Linked DNA regions of Mus musculus. The protein of the gene in region 1 binds, or shares a complex with, the protein of each later gene. Links are inferred from orthologs where the notes say so. Each region holds a gene or a part of one and is shown in the gene's direction. Other genes may lie near its edges.

Region 1 (3,572 bases):
AGGATGCTCTCATGCCAAACACAGGTGCCAGAGAGAGTTGATTCCTTTATCGTTATGTCAGTTCTAGGGCTTAAACCCAGGGTCACAGTCTTGTGTGGTACCTTGATTGCTCAGTCATCTTTTGGGTTTCTAATTCTGACCTTCCTGTCAAACAGCTTTAAAAATTTGTATATAGGGAGAGGGAGAGAGAGTTTGGTCTGCATGATGTATGTATGTATAAGGTGTGTGGTGTGTGTGTATGCATGTACATACATATGCATACATGCTATGTGTGCAGAATACACAGGGAACAGAAGAGAACATCAGATTCCCCTGAAAACTGGCGTTTCTCGTCTAGGTTTTCCACAGTCTTCTCAAGGCTCACGCAATGGAAGCCCGAGCGATTGTGAGACAGGCAATGGCCATTTTGACCCCAGCAGTGCCAGCCCGCATGGAGGACGGACACCAGATGCTGACACACTGGACTAGGAAGATCATCGTGGAGGAGGGGCACACGGTCCCACAGCTGGTGCATATTCTTCACCTCATAGTGCAGCACTTTAAGGTATGGAAAGTGGCAGCAGATGTGTGTGGTACAGCCTCGGGTGCTGGCTTCGAGCCCCTACTCTTCTGTAACAGGGGTGGCCCCTCACCTTTTAGTAAACGCTGACATGACGTTGGTCCCTGTGTCTGCAGGTGTACTACCCGGTGCGGCACCACTTGGTACAGCACATGGTTAGTGCCATGCAGAGGCTGGGCTTCACACCCAGTGTCACCATTGAGCAGAGGAGGCTGGCCGTGGACCTCTCCGAGGTTGTCATCAAGTGGGAACTGCAGAGGATCAAGGATCAGCAAGTAGGACTGCCAGCCTTGGCTGTCATCTCTCCTCCGGCTCCTTACTCTTCTCCGGGGAACCACTCAATAAAACCTGCTGTGTCTTTGTGTTTTTCAAGCCGGATTCTGACATGGACCCAAATTCCAGTGGAGAGGGTGTCAACTCAGTGTCCATTAAGAGAGGCCTGTCTGTAGACTCTGCACAGGAGGTGAAACGCTTCAGGGCGGCCACTGGAGCCATCAGCGCAGTAAGGACTTGTGTTTCCTGTGTGTGCTTGCTCTCTCCTGGGGCTCTGCATATAGTCCATGCGTTTTGAGTGTTCTTGAGCCAGCTGTTCCAGAGGCAGCTGGAAAGGGAACTGGGAACAGCTCTAGGGCCCAACACCCACTAGAGGTCTTTGCATTTCCTGCCATTCCTCTTCACTGGCTTAGTACCATTGGGGTCTATTAGTTATTTATAGAAAAAGCCAAAAGAGGAAACTGAGCTGTAGCAGAGCAGCCTAGACAATGCCAGCAAGGGGCTGAGAGTATCACCTGCTGATGGGTGTGTGTGTGTGTGTGTGTGTGTCCTGCTTCCAGTCTGCAGTGAGAAGCTAGGGTCAGCTCAGCCGTAGAGCATCTTTCTAGAATCCCGCAGTGAAGGGGCTGGAGGTGTGGCTGACAGAGCGCTTGCCCAGCATGGGTAAGGCCCTGGACCCCGTCCATAGCAAAAGAAAGAAGCAAGGGGAACAAACAAAACATGCAAAGGTTGAGAACGTGCGCCCACTTTCTTGGTTTTTGAAAAGACAATTTGCCTGACTTCTGCAGCGCAGCCTCCTAGAGGGTCTTGGGCACTGGCTTTTCACTTGTGGTTAGAATGGCGGCCCTGGGAGCCTTGAGCTCTGTTCTTGGCTGGCATTAGGGCTTGTAGGCACTGGCTGGGCTGACAGCACTTCAAGATTCTTCTCCAACTCTTGCTGGCCTGTCTGTTTAGATGTCCCTACAGGTGCCCAGGACTCCAAGTGGAAACCTGGACCCTCTGTTTAGATGTCCCTACAGGTGCCCAGGACTCCAAGTGGAAACCTGGACCCATCTCTGCCTTTCCCATTCACTTCTCCTGAGCATCCTTCACCTTTACCCCAGATTACTTCGTGCAGCTCCTGTCACTGCTGATAATGCCTCTCACAGCAGAGTACCAAAAGCCTTTCTTTCCTCCCTTAAGTTAGAGGAAGCCGGGTGAAGGCTGTGTCGGACCTCTGCTGCGTTTATAACTACCTCAGGAGTGTTTAATCATTTGAAGTCAGTGGTCTGTTCTGCCAGAGCCCTGCTGTTGGCTCACGTCTCCTTTCACTCCCCTACCCAGGCCTCCTCTACACTCAGCCTCCTGGCTCGCCCGTTCCCTTGCCACTGGCTTCTTCTCAGACACTGCCATCTTTACCTGCCACGTGCTCTCTTTGTCACATGGGCCGTCACTTCTCACTGCTAGTTTGTGCACTAAGTGGTGTGCCCCTGCCAGCTCTGTGCGCTTCACAAGGCAGGCATCCCCCGCTCTGGAGTCCTTCATGCCCATAACCTGGGAGGCGGCGACACTTGTCTGCTCTCAGGTCAGGATGAGTCCCCATAGGAGGTGCTTCCTGTGGCCTTTCCTAGGTGTTCGGGAGGAGCCAGTCCCTGCCGGGAGCTGACTCTCTTCTTGCCAAGCCCATTGACAAGCAGCACACAGACACTGTGGTGAACTTCCTCATTCGAGTGGCTTGCCAGGTATGAGAATGCATGACAGAGCTGCCTAGCAACCTGCAGAATCTCAGAAAAATTCATTTTTCTTTTTAATTTGGGGTGGGTTCTTCAATCCTTAAAGCTGTCAAACAAAATATTGTTTTGTGAAGTACTGGAGATTGCTAAGACTTTCAAAGAATCCTTTGGGCTGCCAAAGCCCTTGTTTTCTTGCAGTGCATGGGGGTCTCATGTGTGGGGTCTTTGTGCAGGTATCCCTCTCTGGAAAGCAGGCCCTGTTCTCAGCTACCACAGGCACCTGCTGCAGGGGAGTGTATAGGTGCAGAGACCCAGAGGGAGAAGGAAGTCTGGGCATTGGGGAGGATGCATGGGAGGCAGAGTGCTGAGATGCAGTGTGCACATCCCTGCTCTTCTGTACCTGTAAGCGGGTGTTGAGTGACCACCTGACTGGCGTACTTGCAGGTGAACGACAACACCAACACGGCAGGGTCGCCTGGGGAGGTGCTCTCTCGCCGCTGTGTGAATCTTCTCAAGACCGCTCTACGGCCAGATATGTGGTGCAAGTCTGAGCTCAAACTGCAGTGGTTTGACAAGCTGCTGATGACCGTGGTAGGTGTGCAGGCTGCTGGTTGATACTATCACCTGGCTCTGGTCTGAGCCTGAGTCTCAAACCCAAGCTCCGCACGTCTGTGCCCACTCTGGCCTCTTACACTCTGTCTTCTGGCTCTCTGAACTTGACTCTAAAGTTCAAGTTTTCAGTCAGCCCAGAGAGCTTAGACTAGGTCACCTGTGTCTGTCATAGTTTAAATGCATTTCTTTCTTCCCTTGACCTAGCTGGCTTGGTATAAGCTGTTGTGATTGATAAAATTACTCTTCACAATGAGTTAGGATTTGTAAAGCCTTTCTTTTCTTTTCTTTTCTTTTCTTTTCTTTTCTTTTCTTTTCTTTTCTTTTCTTTTCTTTTCTTTTCTCTTCTCTTCTCTTCTCTTCTCTTCTTTTCATTTCTTGTTTTTCAAGACAGGGTTTCTCTGTGTAGCCCTGGCTGT
Region 2 (4,167 bases), about 110 Mb from region 1:
CCTCTTGTTTCTTCAGTTCCTCCAGCATGGCCAGATAGCGCAAGTATGCTTGCTCTTTCTCGGGAGATTCGGGTTCAGCGCTCTTGTCCCCAGGTTCCGCCGCTGCTTCCAGCCCCTTCTTGCGTAGGGTCTCGTGAATCTTCTGCTGTAGGTACATGTTGTAGCGCTGATAACGGTTCCGCTCCACTAGCAGGGAGTGGTACTGTTCCACCAGCTCGCCGCGCAGTTGCTGCTCTTGCAGCTTCTGCATGTCCGCTGTCCACTCAAACTCTTCAGTGGACGCCCCTTTTTGTTTCTCCTCTTCCTTGGCCTCTCCAGGGTGAAGTTGCTCTTCTGTGCTTTTGTGTCGTTCTCGATCTGTCCCCTCGATCTCTTCACTGTCTCTCTTCTTCAGTGACTCCCTTGCTTTCTCTTTCGCAGCTTGTGGGCCTGGGGCAGCCCCCTCCTCAACAATTGTGGTCAGCGGTAGAGATGGCCGGAACCGTGACTCCTTCCTCTTCTCCCTCTTCCCCTTGCCCTTCGGCTTCTCTGGCCTGTCCCGTTCCTCTCCCTCATCCTCATCCTCATCCTCATCCTCGTCCTCGTCCTCGTCCTCATCCTCGTCCTCATCCTCGTCTTCGTCTTTGTCCTCTGGTTCCTTGGACTCCGGCTTGGTCTTGGGCTGGGTCTGTGGCAGACTCTCTGGCTCTCGGGACACGGCCTCGCCCGCGGTCTCAGCGGCCCCCGGACTTTCCGGGACCTCAACATGCGCGTAATCGATCCCCTCCGAATCCTTCGCTTTTGAGCTGTCCGACACCGGCTGGGTCTCGCTCTCAGGCTCCCGCCCTTGCGTCGGCTCCGGCTCTGGCTTCGGCTCTGGCTCCTGCTCTACAGGGTTGGCCGGAGTCAGAGGTTCGGAGCTAACCTTGATCTCGAGCGACTGCCTGGCCAGGCCTTCCTCGGCTCGGTCTTTGCCCTCGATGTCCCCGTAGTGGCTGTCCATTTTCGACCCGCCGGCCCCGCTCTGAGGCCGGCTGATGCCTGCTGTTAGGTTTCCCGGGGCAACCAGGGCGCGCGGTGGGCCCCGCGATTGGTCACCCGCCTTCCATTTCTCTCCACCTCCCGGCAATATTAGGCCAATGAAGATCTGCGAACAGGTGAAGGGAGGCGCTAATTGGACGCTGGTTCCCGAGAGGCGTGGCCCGCACGGCCTACTTCCGGTCCGCGCCCCGCCGGCTGACAGGCTTAGGGCGGGGCCTCGCGGCTCCTCCAGTCCATGAGGCCGCGGGAGGCGCCGGCGCGCAGGCGCAGAGCAAAGACTCGGCTGTCCGCGAGAGGGCGCGCGGGGGGCGCCTGCGCGATGCGGCGGGGAGACAGCGGCTGCGGCGGCGGCGGCCGGGCCGGGCCGGAGGGCGCCTGCGTGCTGAGGCGGGACGCGGCCCGCCTGGCCGGCTCCGGCGGCGCCTGGGCGGGGGCGGCCGTGGCAGCGGCCGGCAGCGGCACGGGCGCGGCGGGCGCAGCGAGCCCGGCAGGCGGCGGGGCGCTGACGGCCGGGGGCGCGGCGGCTGCGGGCCGGGCGGCGGGCGAGCGGGGGAAGATGGCGGAGCTGGGTAAGAAGTACTGCGTGTACTGCTTGGCCGAGGTGAGCCCGCTGCGCTTCCGCTGCACAGAGTGCCAGGACATCGAGCTGTGCCCCGAGTGCTTCTCGGCCGGCGCGGAGATCGGCCACCACCGCCGCTACCACGGCTACCAGCTGGTAGACGGCGGACGATTCACACTCTGGGGTCCTGAGGCGGAGGGCGGCTGGACCAGCCGCGAGGAGCAGCTGCTGCTGGACGCCATCGAGCAGTTCGGCTTCGGCAACTGGGTGAGCGGCGGGCTACGGCTAGAAGGGAGGGCATGGCTGGCTGGCTCGGTGTACGTTGCGGAGGGCCGCAGGTGGTCGGATGGTTGTGTCCGGAACGTGTTGGTCACCAGCGGTCACACAGCTGGTAGAGCAGGGCCTTGACCCATTGCCCCGACACGGAGCTGTCTGCCCTTCACACTCGTCCTCAAGAGGTGTGCATTGAACGCGGGTAGAGGGTAGGCCCTGTGCGTTGCCAGGCTTATCCTTGAGTCAGATGGCAGCAAGCTAGATCCCACTGTCCTTTGCTGAGTTCCCCTAGTACGGTTGTGTTCTCCTGGGCATAGTGGTGGGGAAGGCCAGAAGCCTGGGGCTGCCCGTCCCGCCTGCACTTAGTCTGCATTCAGGGCTTCGTGTGCTTTCTGTGGGTGTCAGCATGTGCCCTGTGCTAAGGTTCTCAATGAGTAGCAGTATCTTGTTTAAGTCTTAGTCTCCACAGCACCCAGGACATGGTGTGATGGGTGGACAGTAAAGAATGAACAAAGGCGTGTTCCTGAAGAGGCATGGATCCTGGGGTCTGCTTTCTAGCTGTCAGGTTTCTGTAGAGGTAGCTCACTGGTAGTAAGAGCCTTCATGTGTGCCAGCCAGATAGTGTGCTGGGCTCCTGGTTGTTCTCTGGCTGTCTCTAAGGAGCTCTCCTTTCTATTCCTCACCTATGTTAGGGATGAGATCTGGCTGCATTGTCACCATTGCCTCCAAGAATATGTCACATCTTCAAGCTTTCAGAGAAGCAGGGAGCTCGGCATGACCCTCTCCTGTCCAGACTCTTCCCTGGTATGTTAGGGCCCTCTGACCCTAGCTTCCCCGAGCTTCCCCTACTCCAACCCTACTGCCCTCCTGTTTCAGATCGTCGTAGAATGAGTGACCTTCTGGACCCACTTCCCCACTTAGGAAGGAGTCTACTCCACAGATGTCTTACCAGTGAGCAACACTGGCTCCTGCTCTCTAAAAACAATGGGTTACTTTGTCTCTAAGTGGTGTTTATTGGTGTGTATTGCGCATATGCTTTGTACAGATCAGGCAACATGAAGGACCTTGAAGAAGAGCCTCAGTGCTGAAAGTGTGGCATTCATATGCTCTGTTTCTGGAGCTTGTCGCATACCTGGTGATCCCTCTCTACCTGATTGCCTGTGAAGACTCACTTGTCCTCAGTTATACACAGAGCCAACCTAAAGCCATCAACCACATCCAATTGGTCAGTGGTCATGTATTGAAAAGATGTGCATAATGTAGCTACTGACCTACTCTTCTGGCCTGACCCATGATGGTGCTTACCTCTCGTGATCACTTCTCATGGTTTTACCGTTCTCTTCCTTCTGTTCTGTAACCCTTCTCACACATGAACATAGGGCATTTGGAGCATAAGCCGCATCTTGTTGGCCCTCAGCAACTTCAGTTCTGCTTCTTAGATTACACTCCAGTGCCTGCAGGGCCTGACAATGTCTATGGCTCTCTGTGAGCTCACGCGGAGTCCATTGATCATTTCCTTTCTTCTGCCTGAGGTGTTCTCACCTCAGTCAAGACTACTGACTGATCTCTGGCCTGCGTGTCACTGCTTCTGAGAGCCTTTCTTTCCTCACACCAGTCCTCTAGCACTTATTTCCAGAGGAGACACTGAAAAGAGTGAGAGTGTTAGTCTCAGCACTGCGCTTGCTTTAGCTCTTGAAATCTGGGCTGTATTTAGGGAACCCTGCAGAAGAATATAAGAGCCAGAGGTCAGGAGGACACCAGGAGAACAAGGCCCTCTAAATGAGCTGAGCAAAGCTCCGATGAACTCAGATGAACAGAGGCTGAAGCAGCAAGCACAGGGCCAGCATGGGTCTGGGCCAGCATGGGGCGGCACCACGTCCTCTATGTATATAGTTTTCTTTTCAGTTTAGTATTTTTATGGGACTTGCAAGTGTGAACGAGTGGGTCTCTGATTCTTATGCCCTTTCACTTGCTTCTGTTGGTTTGTCTTGTCCAACTTCAGTGTTTTGGCTTTGTTCTATCTTACTTTGTTAAAAAGGAAATGCAAGCCCGGTCTGTAGAGTCTGTAGTGTAGCTCAGCTAGTGTTTGTGCCCATTTGTGCAGCGCAGTCAGAAGCCCAGCACTCAGGAACTAAAACACGGAAAATGTGGATGAACAGACAGGCTGGGGAAGGCCTCTTCTGAAGCAGCTCTTTCAGGCTTGAAGGCCAGAGGAGCTTGTTCAGGGGGCAGGTTCTCATGAGGCCCAGTCTCAGCGCTGGAAGAAGTAAAGACCAAGGGGAAGAGCCTTGGGGCTTGACTGCCTGTGTGTGCAT
Region 3 (4,302 bases), on another chromosome or scaffold:
CAGTCACATGCCATTTCTGCTTCCAGTCTAGAAACTCTCTATTTTTACTCTGTCTTTATTTTACTCTAGAACTCTCTAGCTGCCTTTCATCACAGTCTTCACTGCTACAGTCTCTAGGCTTGTCTTCTTCATATTACCGGCTCAGCCCACAATACTATTAATATAGGTGGAAAGACTGAGAAATCAAACAATGGGCCTAAAGTTGCACCACAGCTACACATTGCACAGCACAGGAAGGTGTCTCCTGGCTGACTTAAAAGTGAGGAAAGTGAGGGACACAGGAGGCAGAGGCAGGTGGATTTCTGAGTTTGAGGCCAGTCTGGTCTACAGAGTGAGTTCCAGGACACCCAGGGCTATACAGAGAAACACTGTCTCGAGAAAAAAAAAGTGAGGGACACCTGCTTAGAGAGCCAGAATGTTGAGAGAGTAAGCAAGAGTGTTTGCCGTCCTTAGTATAGCCCTTCTTGAAAATGAAGCATTAAATTTGGACTATGGCAAGGTGGATTGTGAAAACAAACTACCATATTTGCACCAATATCAGAGCCGTTGATTATTCAAATGAAGGACCATAGTTTCACCATTCACAGGCAGCTTTTGTTCACCTACCTGGAGACTTGCACCCACTCCAGACTGATGAAAATATCTGGTCAGAGTATGGTGGTAGCACCTTTAATGCCAGCAACTCAGGAGGCAGAGACAGGTGGGGGCCCTGGAGTTTTAGGCCAGGCAAGGCTACACAAACACATCTTCTCTTTTCCTTCCTTCCTTTTTTTCCTTTAAGGGTTTTTTTTTTTTTTTGTTTGTTTGTTTGTTTGTTTTTTTTTTTTTTTTTCCGAGACAGGGTTTCTCTGTATAGCCCTGGCTGTCCTGGAACTCACTCTGTAGACCAGGCTGGCCTCGAACTCAGAAATCTGCCTGCCTCTGCCTCCCGAGTGCTGGGATTAAAGGCGTGCGCCACCACCGCCGAGTTTCTTTAAGGTTCTTATTGGGCATATGATGACCAGAATTATGGCATGAAGTGTTTGAAAAGTTTTGGCTGGAATAGTGCCTTCAGGATCTAGTGTATTCTGGAAAAAAAAAAATGGGAGCAGTGGGGCATTCTCTGGGTGTCTAAATAATTCGGTGAGCACTGGAGAAGTTTGGGCAGCTGCTTTGCTGATGATTCTCTCAGGACATCCAAGCACCTGGAAAAGATTTAACATCTGTCAGTGAAGAAGTTAACTCACCCTGGCACAAATATGTTATTCTAAAGAAAAAAAATAGGCATTAAAAGAGGCATTTATAATTAAAAACCTGTCATTCACATTAATAGTGCTTAAGTACTTAAGCAGTTCTCAGTCAAATGTGGCCAGGGCAGGAAATGTTTGCCCTGGGGGAACTTATCCTGTGACACAGACGGAAGTTACTGGGCGAAACTCAGCAGCCGTGACCAGCGTAGCTTTTAGCCAATAGAAAGCGAAGCCTTCTCGCCTCCCCCAATGACATATTGATAGGGGCGGGTCCAGGAGAGCGGCCTAGTAACGGCCGCGTGGTAACCCAGGCGCCTGGCGTGCGGTAGTTCCTACCACTCCACGCAGGTTGTGTTCCTAGACACTCGGCAAAATGAAGATTGAGGAGGTGAAGAGCACCACGAAGACGCAGCGCATCGCCTCCCACAGCCACGTGAAGGGTCTGGGGCTGGACGAGAGCGGCCTAGCCAAGCAGGCGGCTTCGGGTCTCGTGGGCCAGGAGAACGCGAGAGAGGTGGGCGTGGGGCTTGTGCGCGAGGTGTGGGCGGCGGGACCAGGATCCACTAAGATCTAAGAAGTAAGGATCACACTAGCGAGCAAAGGCTGCATCCTTTGCGGGTCACGGCACGCAAATTAGACCTCACCGGAAACGCAGTGGAAGGCTGTGCGGTTAAGTATAGAATTGACTACGTTTTCAGAGTTGATATGGGTTCTTTGGGCCTGGGAGCTGATCTGTTAAGTGGAGCGGTGAGGACTGTCTGATCTATTCCCCATCCAAGCACTCCAGCTTTTCCAGGTCAGTCTTCCTAAAGTCATGCCAGGTCTTTCTATCGGTTCTGTTTTGCACATGAAGAAGTTAAAGGTGGGTTAGGCCGCTTAACCACCTGCCAGTTTAGCAGTAATGAGGCTGGTATCTCCCTCCCCCTAACCCCCATCAAATCAGTATTCTTCCCATTTCTTCAGCCTCCTCCACTCTGAACTCTGCAGAGGTTCAGTGTCTACAAAAACTTGCTTTTTTACATGTGGTGAAGACTGCTTTCTCAGCCTCTTGCACACAGAAAGTGCCAGCAGCAAAGAGCATCATCTATCCAAAAAGGGAAATGTTTGACCCTAGCATGCTTGCATCTTTTCTTGCAAGCAGGTAGTAGCAGTTTAATGCTTTCTATTGGCCAGGCAGCTTTGAGTCTATTGTTTCTTATTTCATTTCTGTCCATGTGACATTTCTGTGTATGTGACTTCAGAGGCTGCTCTAGACCTGCATCTGCACCCACACCAGCAGCCTCTGGTACTCCATATCTTATCCTTCCTATTCTTTGAATGTTAGCCGGTATTTATTTTTGTTTGTTTTCACGACAGTCTCACTATGTAGCTCTGGCTGTCCTGGGACTCTGTAGACCAGACTGGCCTTGAGTTCACAGGGATCCGACTGCCTCTGCCTCCTGAGTGCTAAGATTAAAGGTGTGGGCCATTACACCTGGCTTCCTTAGCTGATATTTCTTTGTTTCTTTTCCTGTTTGACAAAATGTGCGCAAATGCAGTGCAGTCATGTGACTGCCATGGTGCTCTGGTAGAGGTCAGAGGTTCTTTCCTTCCACTGTGGGATCCAGGGATTGAACTCAGGTCCTCAGGTTTACACTACAAGTGCTTTTCACCCACTGAACCATCTCACCAGCCCTTGCCAATTCTTTTATTGGGTGGATTCATAGCATACATACCCTTTTTGTTTAGATAATGTTGCTGTAGTCAAACTGGCCTGGAATGCACAGCCCTGCAGACTCTGTTAAGTACTAGGTCTGTGCTGGTCCCTGCTTGCCTCAACCTCCCCTTTTCCATTCTGTTCACTATACTTTGGCTGCTGCAGCATGTTGTCGCTTAGACATACCAAACTTATGCTTTGGTTATTTTGAGTTTGCAATTTTTGTCTGAAATGTAGATTTCTTTTTCTTTTTCTTTTTTTTTCAAGACAGGGATTCCCTGTATAGCCCTGGCTGTCCTAGAACTTACTCTGTAGACCAGGCTGGCCTCAAACTCAGAAATCTGCCTGCTGCTGCCTCCCAAGTGCTGGGATTAAAGGCATGTGTCACTACTGCCCGGCTGAAATGTAGACTTCTGCCCAGGGCTTCAAATGTTACATACAATGTATGAGAAAGTCCCCCTCCACCCCCACCCCACCCCCAGCCCTCGGTAGCCACTCAGCGTCTCATTACCCTTCTCTCTTCGTGGCAGCAACTATACGGTGTGAGCTGGAGCACGTGGCTTTGCTACCTCACCTCCACCGCTCCACTCCACAGCACAGCACTGGTATCACAGCTGTCTCGTGTCAAAAGAGTGTGCGAGCTGTGTGGACCAAGCCCTGAGCTGGTTCCACCATTATGCATTTAAGACTGACTGTTTCTTTCTGTTTTGTGCAGGCATGTGGCGTCATTGTAGAATTAATCAAAAGCAAGAAAATGGCTGGAAGAGCTGTCTTGTTGGCGGGGCCTCCTGGAACTGGCAAGGTGTTCATTCATTTTCTCTTTCTCTTTTTTAAGCTACCCAAGACATTGATATTGATGTTTAAGCTCCATTGAATTCATGTCTTAACTAGTCTCTGTCTAGCTGGAATAGTTAAATGAATGGTTTAAAAACCAATGTGCAGTTTTAATACAATTTAGCATATAAAATCTGTGGTCTAAAATTAAAATTACCCTGGCCTACCTCCAGAGCAGAGGTAAAGTCCTTGGAGGGCACTTTAAGAGATGTAGGAAGATTGGCCTTACAGGGAAGGAAAGGACTTTCTAGGCAGGAGACACCGTGTTGGAGATTTTGAGTGGACACCCACTGTGTGTGTGTGTGTGTGTGTGTGTGTGTGTGTGTGTGTGTGTGTGTGTGTGTGTGTTTGTGCATGCTTGTGCACATACTTGCACATATGCACCACAGTGCATGTGTAGAGGTCAGAGGACATCTTTCAGGAGTTGCTTTTCTCCTTCCGTTGTGGTGTCTGGAAATCAGACTCCATGCTTGTGTGGCAAGTGCCTTTACCTACTGAGGCATCTTGCTCACCCCACCCCACCCCACTTTTTTTTTTTGAGGC

What was found. The genes of interacting proteins can lie anywhere in the genome.
Region 2: Trrap (region 1) and Tada2b share a complex: the UniProt entries of both Homo sapiens proteins name them as parts of the TFTC-HAT complex. The link is inferred for Mus musculus from reciprocal best matches to the Homo sapiens genes TRRAP and TADA2B.
Region 3: Trrap (region 1) and Ruvbl1 share a complex: the UniProt entries of both Homo sapiens proteins name them as parts of the SWR1-like complex. The link is inferred for Mus musculus from reciprocal best matches to the Homo sapiens genes TRRAP and RUVBL1.

The regions. Positions count from the first base shown.
Region 1 is NC_000071.6:144,817,260-144,820,831, forward strand, and holds part of Trrap (transformation/transcription domain-associated protein), read left to right. Parts: intron 1-337; coding exon 338-544; intron 545-675; coding exon 676-834; intron 835-932; coding exon 933-1,061; intron 1,062-2,442; coding exon 2,443-2,553; intron 2,554-2,988; coding exon 2,989-3,135; intron 3,136-3,572. UniProt on the Homo sapiens protein: Adapter protein, which is found in various multiprotein chromatin complexes with histone acetyltransferase activity (HAT), which gives a specific tag for epigenetic transcription activation.
Region 2 is NC_000071.6:36,481,467-36,485,633, reverse strand, and holds the start of Tada2b (transcriptional adapter 2-beta), read left to right. Parts: upstream 1-1,348; 5' UTR 1,349-1,576; coding exon 1,577-1,846; intron 1,847-2,544; exon of another isoform or gene 2,545-2,626; coding exon of another isoform or gene 2,627-2,656; intron 2,657-4,167. Other genes in the region: Ccdc96 (coiled-coil domain-containing protein 96), read right to left, coding at 1-982. UniProt on the Homo sapiens protein: Coactivates PAX5-dependent transcription together with either SMARCA4 or GCN5L2.
Region 3 is NC_000072.6:88,463,926-88,468,227, forward strand, and holds the start of Ruvbl1 (ruvB-like 1), read left to right. Parts: upstream 1-1,483; 5' UTR 1,484-1,602; coding exon 1,603-1,743; intron 1,744-3,640; coding exon 3,641-3,727; intron 3,728-4,302. UniProt on the Homo sapiens protein: Possesses single-stranded DNA-stimulated ATPase and ATP-dependent DNA helicase (3' to 5') activity; hexamerization is thought to be critical for ATP hydrolysis and adjacent subunits in the ring-like structure contribute to the ATPase activity.